Drosophila melanogaster: one gene and its partners. The protein of the gene in region 1 interacts with the protein of each later gene in a pairwise test. Each region holds a gene or a part of one and is shown in the gene's direction. Other genes may lie near its edges. The genes, in order: CG1894, CG31549 and Lipt1.

What was found.
Region 2: the proteins of CG1894 (region 1) and CG31549 interact in a two-hybrid assay, tested with the Drosophila melanogaster proteins (one large-scale study listed by BioGRID).
Region 3: the proteins of CG1894 (region 1) and Lipt1 interact in a two-hybrid assay, tested with the Drosophila melanogaster proteins (one large-scale study listed by BioGRID).

Annotation. Positions count from the first base shown.
Region 1 is NT_033777.3:28,482,552-28,486,305, forward strand, and holds CG1894 (uncharacterized protein), read left to right. Parts: upstream 1-2,005; 5' UTR 2,006-2,100; coding exon 2,101-2,205; intron 2,206-2,286; coding exon 2,287-3,447; 3' UTR 3,448-3,511; downstream 3,512-3,754.
Region 2 is NT_033777.3:5,630,167-5,633,920, forward strand, and holds CG31549 (uncharacterized protein), read left to right. Parts: upstream 1-2,025; 5' UTR 2,026-2,229; coding exon 2,230-3,003; 3' UTR 3,004-3,155; downstream 3,156-3,754. Other genes in the region: CG31551 (uncharacterized protein), read left to right, coding at 1-1,867; CG12171 (uncharacterized protein), read left to right, coding at 3,526-3,754.
Region 3 is NT_033778.4:16,195,204-16,198,957, forward strand, and holds the start of Lipt1 (lipoyltransferase 1), read left to right. Parts: upstream 1-1,838; 5' UTR 1,839-2,124; coding exon of another isoform or gene 2,125-2,313; 5' UTR 2,314-2,577; coding exon 2,578-3,135; intron 3,136-3,281; coding exon 3,282-3,743; intron 3,744-3,754. Other genes in the region: caly (calypso), read right to left, coding at 1-454, 514-706; CG44242 (uncharacterized protein), read left to right, coding at 1,268-1,399, 1,489-1,599; CG42837 (uncharacterized protein), read left to right, coding at 2,125-2,313.

The DNA of each region.
Region 1 (3,754 bases):
GCTAATGCTCAAAGGAATCGATCGAGTCCATGCCGGCGATGATGGCGCATCGCTGGCCAATTATACGGCTTTGAGGGCATCAGTTTGGGATTGGACCGTTCCTCAGGCGTCGACTCGTTAAGTATCCGCAAAGGATGCAATCTCTGCCAGTTACTGAAATTCGGCTTTGTGGCAGACAAAACTGCATTGAAGTTGTTGCGGTTACGGCTCGACTGCCTAGTTGCCTAGTTGCCCGACTGCATGGATGCCATGGCAATTGGCCAACGCAGGCGTCGTCTTAAAGTAGGCCCAGTTTATTAATTAACGCAACCCGACCGACCACTATTCCGGCTTTGCATCCGGCAGCCCAGCAGAGACGCCTGACCACACTTGGTTTGATTCCAACCGGATGGTAACTTGGAACTGGGTATTCAGTGCACACTGGCATGCATATTGAAGTGCGATTGCCGGGCTCTGGGCATGCTCCTCCTGCATCAATTATGGGCATTCAAAACTGTTTGTAACCATTTTCCAAATGTTCAGCTGGCTAAACAAAAGCCCGTCCAAACCCACCCAACACTACGTGGCCCCATGGAAACCGTTTCGCAAAGCCCATTGGGAGCCCAGCGCTTATCTTCACCGTACAGGTCAAGGGCTAATAGGTATCGATCCAGAGCTACCAGCCCAAACATTGGCCTTAATATTTTTATAAGACTGATGGTATCGAGTAATAACAAGGAACCAAAAAGCTTGGAGGCGTGAAATTAAGCTGGGATTAGAATATTGTATATGTATATATACATTAACAAGAAGCTGTGCTGTGCTTTAAACATATCGAAATAACAAAAGAATTTTTATTAAAAATATTTAAGCTTCAAGTTAGCTCGACTTCTTTGGCCTGTTTGAATAGTTCTGCACACACCTACGACTCTACGGCTCTAATTAGGGAGTATGACTCCGGGGCCCAGGAACCTCCTTTCAGTTGACTTCGTTTTCAAAGGCATTCCCCGCATCATTTAAAAGTTATTAAGCACAAATGCAAACAGACGTTCGAGTTGTCTCGAAGCCATGGTTGTGTTTATCAAACTTGTGTGACGTAGATAAATATGCAGTGGGGGCACGTTTCAAGCGGAAACGAAGCAGCACAGCAATAAAAAGTGTTTGATTTTAATGAGATTCGAAGTATGTATATAATTTTAATCATTTTTGTGTAATATTCTCTAGTAGAGACATGACATTTTTATATTTCTGCAGCGCATAGATATTTTGCAGCACAAAGCTATATATCAAATCGCTATAATATTTTTACGTGTACGCAAACAGAGACTCTTATAGAAAAGGCACACACACACAGACACACGCACATATGCAGAGTGAAGTCAATAAATTCTCATTTCGCTGGATGCGTGGAATATTTCACCTGCAAACAAAGTGTGCTCTTCGCTACTCTGCTCTCCGCAAACGCAATAATAAATACAAATAAAAACATGGCGCATAAAGATTACAGCCACCGCAAGCGAATGCTGTAGCAAAAGGAGCCAACTCATCCAGGAGCTTTCCATCCTGCTAGAACCCCCCCCCCCCCCCCATCCCGCCATCCACACACTCTCAATCCAATCTATATTAAGTATACGCACCGTTTGAACCATGCATTTTAATGATGTCTCCCGTTGGCCCGGGCTCGTCACCTAATCTTTCGCCCGGTCTCCTGGCCTCTCGCCCTCACATCCACCTGCTGTGACGACGTAAATGTTCATTTATTTTAATTAGTATTGAGCCGGGTTGTCCCTGCACTGGCGTCTTCGATAGATCAAGGTAGCAGGGTGTGGCGTAGGACTGAGATTATATCCCGAAATGTTTTCTCACTGAAAAAAATGTATACAACTTATTGTATAATATATATTTTTGCTCAATATATGTTCAGAAAGTTAAATTGGAATTAAAATTTAAAAATAACTTTAATGCTTTGATATTGGTGCTTCCTTAGATGATTCGATTTTTTGACAACAAACTTTATCGTTTCATTATTGATATCACTAATCGATATCAAGCTAAATGTGTCATCACTAGTGAAAAACCACGCTTTCTAAAAAGGGTGAAATTCGCAATAGGAATTGACAAATGGACAAGGAAAACAGATCAGGTGACCATTTAAAGTATCAGCCGTTGGGCGATCAGGACGGGATAAGTTCGAAATTGCCGGACATTCCGAGAGCCCTGCAATTGGTAAGAACAATACTGGTCAAAGAATATCATATGAGGAATGAAAAACTGCTGATAATTTATTTTTTTTTTGCCACTCTTCAGACTAATGCCAAGGAATCCTCCGCGACTCGCGGTTTAGGCCAAAGTGCTTCTAAGTCCGAAATGGGGAAATCCCAGCTTCAGAACGATTCATCTCTTCAAAAAAACATTCAGGAAACTAAAACCATTACTGGATCGTGCATCGAAGCTCAAAGAATAGGGGCTACACCGAAGAAGCAATTGGAAGGCGTCAAGGAACCTAATATGATTTCTTTATTACACACTAATGCCAGTAGCAATGTGGATGATCGCCAGCGCCAGGAGACAATAGATAATGAAAAAAGTGATGTCCAGAAAGAGAAAGAGGACGCGAAAGTGAAAGTCATAAGAAACATCGAAAAGGTGCAATTTGGGCGTTACGAGATCGAGACCACGTCTTCCAGTCCCTATCCTGTAATAAACGACAAGGCGACCACCATTTACGTTTGTGAATTCTGCCTAAAATACATGTGCTTGCGGAAAAGTTACTCCTACCACCTATACGATTGCAAGAAGAGGTGTCCGCCGGGCAGCTTGTTATACCGAAAAGACAATATTTATATCTACGAGGTCGATGGCCATAAGGAGCAGCTGTATTGCCAGTGCCTCTGCCTAATGTCAAAGCTCTTTCTGGAAAACAAGAAAATTCTTTACAGCTCGAGTTCGTTCTTGTTTTATATCCTGTGTTTGAAGGACAAGGATGGCGAGCACTTTGCAGGTTACTTCGCCAGGGAGAAGACTATGCTGAATATCAACCTGAATTGCATCCTTGTTTTACCGCCCTATATGCGCAAGGGATACGGAAAGTTGTTGATTGATCTGAGCTACGAGATCTCTCGCAGGGAGGCATGCATCGGAGGTCCCAAGAAGCCGCTGTCGAAAGTTGCCAGACTTTGTTACCTCAGCTATTGGGGCCACATCCTCCTCAATCTGCTGAGGCACCACTCATCACCGGACCTGGTGACCATCGAAGAGCTGAGCAAAGCGACTGGCTTCCGCGAGGAGGACATAATAAGCACTTTAGAATTTATGGGGATGACGAAGTACTACAAGGTTGACCACATCATGTTCTACACTACTTCATCGATAATTGAAGATCGCCGTGGGCTCGCACAGTTTAAAAAGCCGAGGTTGACCATTCACAGGAATCGCCTCTCCTGGAAGACACCCACAGGACGAAAGTAGAACATTTTCATGATATATGTATGCCACTTTGTATGCCAACAATTTACACTAGTAAACTGATTGCACTCATCTACAAGAATGTCCTTATCTTATTTTATTTTTTGCGGTGTACCTTAGACAGTCTAAAATAAAAATCACATTAGCGAGATAATCAAAATTCAAGGCCTGCGGAAATTAGGTAAAATCCAGGTATTAATGAAAAATCGATGACATCCCATGGAACTGATTCCTCAAGCCCATTGAAGTGGCTGCGAAGTTTGATTGCGCAACTTTTATGGTAGCAACGGCACATGCACTTTAAGTGAAG
Region 2 (3,754 bases), about 23 Mb from region 1:
GGGTAACAAGCGCAGGGAAAAAGAGGAGGCTGAGAGAAAGCATTGGGAGAAACTTGATCGATTACAAAGGGAGAGACAGGAAATGAAACACCTAAATAAAAAGCGGCCGAAAAAGGTTAAAGTCGACGGGCAAAATGCCATTGGGAAACAAGACGAAGAGGAGCTTTTTACCAGACGTTGCCCAGAAAGCCCGAACCAGGAGAAGATGTATAGGGATTTAAGAATGCAAGAGATTACCCTGAGTGAAAAAACGGAGCTGAAGCTGCAATGCGAGGCAAGAAAGGTGGCGAAGCGGCTTCAGCGGCACCTGTTAGGTCGACTTGGAATGCACGGAGAAGGAGAGGTTCATTTGGGCCAGAAAAATTATCCACAGAAAGTGGCAAGCGAGAGAAAAGCAAATAGCCAGACGGAGAATTGGTCTGTGAAGAATCTCTCCGGAGACATGATGAAAGTGGGGCTAACTGGCAAGGATGTGTCGAACGTTCGACGAAGTTTTCAGCAACTAGATCGATATGAGAATGCCAAAGTCCGCTTGAAAAAGCTCCATGAAAGGAATAGCAGGATTTTTGAAGAGGTGCAGAAGTTTCAGGTGCTCGATAAACTGCGCTTGGAAGCAGGAGAACTGGAAGCTCAAAAATCTTTGAACAAGCGTTTCGAGCTAAGATCTTCAAAGGCGCGCCCGTCACAGAAAAATGCAGAGAGACCAATCAGTTCCAGTCAAGAGTACTTTCAGCCAGGATCCCTGCATACTCGCAGCGAGCGATGGGATCGCTTTATTGGGAGTGACGAGGAATCCGGAATGGAGGATCCTCAAAATCGGGGTCGCAACAGCGCCATCCTCTCTAGCAGCGAAAGCGACCCGGTTCCGGAACCCCGTTACACCCTTGAAGGCAAGTACTGTCCGTTCAAGAAAACATACGCGGTGGAGCCCCAAAATGCTCAACACATCCCACATGAAGAATCAGAGCAGGGAGAAGATTGTCGGAAGACACCACCACCAAGTTCACACTCTACTGAGGAGGCAGAATCGGACGAGGAACGAGCACGAGGTGGCGGTGGCAATCCAAGTGGCATTGGCATGACTTACTGCACACGAACAGGAAAGAAGCGTTTTTCGCAGATCAAACAATGCGAGATTGACCACGATTCTGGCGGGCTAAATGAGGATCGGGTGTTTTTCGGACACCTTCTCACGCAGGCTCGGACATTCGATTGCAGTCCGGATATATTGCGCGCGGAGAACCGTCTTCTGAAGAAAAAACTGGCTAGAGCTAAAAACAAATATCTGCAGTTGTCAGTTCTGCGAATGTCCAAGTATCTCATGAGTGTGTTCGAGAATAACGAAGCTATCGAGAGTTCCGAGGAAGAGAATGAATCTCTGGAAAATGTAGAGCTCGAGCAGATCTATCTGCAAGAGACCGATAGCACTATGCTATTTCCCAGGCCAATCTTTAAGACTCTGATGTTAACTGTGGTTACATCCAACGAGTCCATTTCTCCTGACCTCGCGTACAAAATTACCAATTTGGAAGATGAGCTGAAGGCTCACCTCAAGAAGATTTCTAGACGCGCTTTTGCACAACGAGGTGCAGGAGCTCTGAGGCGGAGAGCCAAGTACTTGATGGACCAGCAGCGTCAACTACAAAGTCGCCAACTGTCCGAGGTATGTCGCAATTCCGAGGAGCAGACTTTAAGGCTGTGGGATCGACTGACCAGCAGCAGTGACTCCTTGCGAGGGATCAGGGATCTCTTTCGCGATCATTGCGACCTGCGAGACCCATTGTTGTGCGCCGCACTCCAAAGCATCGAGCGTCTCTACAGGGAGTGGAAGGATCAGCGGTTTAGCGTGAATTGGAAACAAAATTGATTTAATTTTCCTTTTTTTTTAATGGCTTCATTTTTCGTTCCTTTTGAAATTCGATCTTACCAGCTATTTTAATTACATTAAGGGCTAGCCTAATTAAATTGTGTACATACATAGTTATTTGCGTGGGGTAGAGTGGAAAAGGTTTGGTTGATTGAACACAGCACTCCAAAATTCAAAAACTATTTTCCACCGACACATTTTGAAAATTCCAACCGCTAGAGAGAGAGCTTTTCGATAAGCTTTTCCGCCACAGCTGATGTGGAAAAGCTATCACTTGCCAGCTGGAACTGCGCTTCTTCTTAGATGTCTGTCTATCGTTTCCAGTGATCGAACTTCGCTTAGCGTAAAAGAAACACCCCACGATGTCATCCTTCAAGGACAAAGTGATTATTGTTACCGGCGCCAGCTCCGGCATCGGAGCAAGTGCCGCCGTCCATTTGGCGAAACTCGGAGGGCTCCTGGTCATCGTGGGTCGCAACGAGGAGAAGCTGAAGGAGACGGCCGACAACATTGTGGCGGCCGGAGGAGCAACGCCATTGGAACTGCAGGCGGACATGACCAAGGAGGCGGAGGTGCAGCAGATTGTGGGCGCCACTCTGGCCAAGCACGGTCGCATCGATGTGCTCGTTAACAATGCGGGCATCCTGGAGACAGGCTCCATCGAAGCCACCAGCCTGGAGCAATTCGATCGTCTGATGAACACCAATGTGCGTTCCCTGTACCAACTAACCATGCTGGCCACTCCAGAGCTAGTCAAGACCAAGGGCAATATCGTAAACGTATCCAGTGTCTGTGGACTGCGTGCCTTTCCTGGTGTCCTGGCCTACAATGTGTCTAAGGCAGCGGTGGACCAGTTCACGGCCTGCATAGCCCTGGAACTGGCCCCCAAAGGAGTCCGCGTAAACGCCGTGAATCCCGGCGTGATTGTGACTGACATTCACAAGCGTGGCGGCATGGACGAGGAGACCTATGCCAAGTTCCTCGAACACTGCAAGATAACCCACGCCTTGGGCCGTCCTGGCGATGTCAAGGAGGTGGCTGCCGCCATTGCCTTCCTGGCCAGCGATCAGGCCAGCTTCACCACGGGAATCAGTCTGCCCGTCGATGGAGGTCGTCACGCCATGTGCCCGCGATAGGATGCGGATGAGCAAATGGTGGCATTTATCGAATTTAGCGTCATTTTCAGTAGTTAATTTAAAGAACACGACTAAAATACAACACAATACATTAAAAGTGCGCAGTTAAGATTTCTTGGATTTTTCCTCTCATAATAAACTAATATATTGATAAAATATCTATAATCTATTATTATCTTCTTCTGGGATCCCAAATAGCTGATTATATTGTCAAAAACTCTCACAACCTCTCTGTCTAAAGAGGTGACCACTTAAAATTAAAAACTGATCATACATACATTCAACTATTTATTAATATACATACATACATACATATGTATATGCATAGTAGTTGGATAAAATAACAAATTAACAGTTAATTAAATTTAATTGAATTTCACAACCACTGGAAATGTGTAGCTTGGAAGGTTCCAGCCTATCGATAGCGTAATCGGATTGCAGCCCGGGAATTGTTGACTTCTGGGTCGGGTCTTCAATGTCACCAATCACTATCAGTTAAACCGTCGAGTGGATCACTTCAACATGCCCAGTTTCAAGGATAAAGTTATAATCGTGACCGGAGCCAGTTCGGGAATTGGAGCGGGTACTTCGGTGCTCTTGGCTAAACTGGGAGGCCTGCTCACCATCGTGGGCAGGAATTTGGATAAGCTCAACGAGACCGCGGAGCAGATAGTGGCAGCTGGAGGAGCGCCAGCACTCCAGGTGGCGGCGGACATAAACAGCGAGTCCGACGTCCAGGGCATCGTCTCCG
Region 3 (3,754 bases), on another chromosome or scaffold:
CTAACGAAGTGAAACGCCTCACCCGTGAAGCGGCAACTTGAGACGCCCGCTCCCGTCCTTTCTAGACGGCGCCGAGCCTGCGGCATTGCGTGTGAGTTATGGGCACAGGCCAGCTCCGGAGTGTTGCCAATAGCCAGCCCCTTGTTCTCCGGACTCATGCCTTTGGTGTGGGTTTTTAGTCGACTCAGGGTGTCGCCCAGCTGAAGATTGTTCTCGTTGCAGTTCAGGAGCACCGAAAGCAACGCGTGTGTGGCACAGCTATTGGGGACTACCTGCTGGGCGAAGAAAATGCTGGAAATGGCCTCCTCATCCTTGACGAATATCTCAGCAGTTGTCTCCACAATTTTGCGTCTGGCGCGTCGCTCTTCGATCCAGCGGAAGAGAAATATGAAGCCATATGGACTCTCGATGGGTTTCTGTAGGTCGTACACCTCCTCCACCTGTACATCGTGACCTAAGGATAGTACATATTTTAATAGGATGTGTGGAACAAGGCATATTCAAATAGATTACATCCAAAATCCTTGAGAAGCAGTGTGAAGAGACCTGGGTCGGACTCCAGCTCCAACCAACCGTCTGCCAGTTGGGCCATAGGCATGGTGGTGGCTCCTGAGGCCGTGGAAAGTAGCGCATTGTGGCTGAGACTGTTGTTGCCTGCCGCCACTGCGGCCGCCTGGGCACCACTACCTCCTCCAGCAGCGTTCATATTTGTATGGCTTATACAATTGCTGCGAAAGTATCCGAGATGTTACTTTAATTTCGTTTTTCTGCACAGAGAAGGATATACACATGAAAATCTATCAAAGGAATGTTTACGTATAAGTTTATTTGTCATTAATATAATAAACAAATGAAATAGTTACCGGTTATACTCATAAAAACGTCTTCAATAGTTTGTTTTCATATGACATTTATTGTTGCATAGAGCATAAGTACGTTGGTTTGCTAGTTTTAGGAGCAATCCATATACTGGCGATGTCCGTCCAGAAGTTAGGGCCGTCGGCTGCCGGTTATCTTCTGTCCCCAATTCATTTTAAATATAAAAATATTACCGATTTGGACCAAAATAGTTTTTTGCGCTTCCTCTTATCTGCCTTAGCCATTCACAGGATCACGTAAATTTCAATAACGATAATAATCCATTGCGCGGCGAATGGCATGCAATTTTAACGATCTGGCAGCGCTTGTATGAGTTTACAGTCAGCTGTTATTCACGTAACTTTTACTTTTGCCTTGGCTTTTTGGTAGAAATTCAATTGCTGTTGCTATGGTTCGACCAACACTAGTTGCGCTGGCTAAGCGCGTACCGCTCATACACTTCCGCAAGGGTGGTGCAGGAGTGCCGGGCGCCCAGACAGCAAACCAGAAGGCAAGTTCCCAGGCCGCAGGAGGCAAAAAGGTTAACCCAGCCCATTTCATTTATACACAATACCACGGCTTCTTCTGTGCATCATAACTAATCTTCGTAATTGTCCCTTCTACATTTAGTTGGCCGGTGGACCAGCAATTGAGGACTACGAGCTGCCGGCACGATTTGCCCGCAAGCCAATTGATCCCGAAGAGGCGGCTTACATTAATAATGGGGGTATTCCAAACTGAAGGGGCTCTCAAAGTATGCTGCTTATAAAATATAACACATATTAATGTCACATCTGTTGTAGACGTCTCGGATTATCACACATGTTTAGCGTAAATTATACAAGTTCGAATTAAAAAGATGAAAATAAATTAAGTGCGGCGCCAGAGTGCCGTTGTTTTTTTTTTTTTTTAATGACCGGAGCTTTCGTCGTTCGCTGCGAATGGCATTTGGGGACCGTCGAGGAAGAACAAGAGCAGCGAGCACCACTGCTCATCTGAAACGAAAGCCAATCGGTCGTGATATTTCCACACGCGCAGCTGCTTTTCGATCGGCTCTGTGTTCGTTCGTTTGTTTGTGCTATAACTGCTACCCCCGCCCACTGCGATCATCCGCCTTGCCCCCGCCCCCCGCAGTTCCCGTGCGCCGCGAACAAAGAGTGGAAAATTTTGGTGTCAGCTAAAAAGGAAACCCTTTAGCCATCTTATTTGGGCCCCGTAACGTTGCGGCCCCCCGTAAACACCGGATTCGTTGTATCCCCCACCTGGATGGGTGTGAGGCGTAGTATGCCAGTGAACTGTGCCAACAAGGACTGCCTGGGTCTCCGTAAGCGTGTCTGTGGTCTGCATCAAACGTGGAAGTGGCTGCATCAGACGCCCGCCCTGCACGAATACCTCATCTCGGCCAGCTCCGTGGCTGCAAACACATCCCGAGCCACTAAGAACGCCACAGTCTAAAGTCCAGAGCGACCAAAGCCATTTAAAGACCAAAACGAATAGCGTAGATAGTAGACCATACATAACCTAAAGAAGAGCACACACGGACCACACAGAACCAGGCAGACGACAACCGTAGAAACCAACCAACCAACCAACCAATCAACCAGCCAAAAGCTTTTTTCGACACCATTGACCTTGTTTCGCTTGCAAGTGCATTGTGTCCCAGATCACCTGGCAACAGAAATCACACACACCCGTACGCCCCACTTCCTTGTGTAAGCCATGAGCATGCTGTTGCGACGCAATTCCAGCCAGCTGCGGCTACTTCTCTCCTCCGCCGCTCAGGCCACGCGCCTGGCATCCAGCGGAGTGGAGCCACCATCTGCTGGACAGCAGGAGATTAAAAAGCAGAGGCGCCAGCCACCGCCCGTGGTTCCCGATTCGGAGATCAAGAAGTCCGTGTTCATCTCGCAGTCCAGCGATGTGTTCACCAACCTCGCTCTAGAGGATTGGCTGTACAAAAACTTTGATTTCAGCCGCCACCATGTGCTGCTGCTGTGGGCCAACGACCCGTGCGTAGTCATTGGTCGCCACCAGAATCCCTTCACCGAGGCTAATGTTTCGCAGCTGGTGGAACGCGGCATAACACTTGCACGCCGCAATAGTGGCGGTGGAGCGGTGTACCATGATCTTGGGAACCTCAACTGCACCTTTTTCTCGCCCAGAGAGCGCTACGATCGCAAGTACAACCTGAACATCGTGACCAGGGCCTTGTTCCGCGAATGGGCCATCAAGGCAGAGATAAATGAGCGCGACGACATTGTAGTGATGAATAAGAAGGTGAGGAGGAGCGGTGGCTCTTATCAAGGAATGATGCGACCCCGGCTGATCCCTCACATTGGCATCAGCTCACTTAACCAACAGCTGGGGCTGTGCATCTGGTCTTTATTTGCCCACTCAACGAGTATGCCCTTGTTCAATTACAGATTTCCGGCACTGCGGCCAAGCTGGGACACCCGAACTCGTACCATCACTGCACCATTTTGGCCAGCGCCAACAAATTGCACTTGGGCGAATCTCTGGTGCGGGAGCCGGCCAATTATATTAGCAAGGCCACGGCTTCGGTGCCGTCGCCCATTCGCAACCTGGTTGATGTCAATCGCACGGTGAACGTTGCTCAGCTGCGTTCCGCCGTGGGTTACGAGTATTTGAGAACGGCTGCAACTACGCTTGAAGACGGCGGCAGCACACAGACGATGCAGCAGCGCGGCTTTCAGCTGGTCAATCCCACAGAGAAATGGTTCCCCGGCATTGAGGAATTGCGCTCCAACTACAGCTCTTGGGACTGGGTCATCGGCAAGACTCCCAAGTTCACCGTGCAGAAGGAACTGGAGGTGAAGGGCGATGAGCAGGACATGAAACTGAAACTAAGCGTGGAAGTGGAAGCGGTAAGATTTGT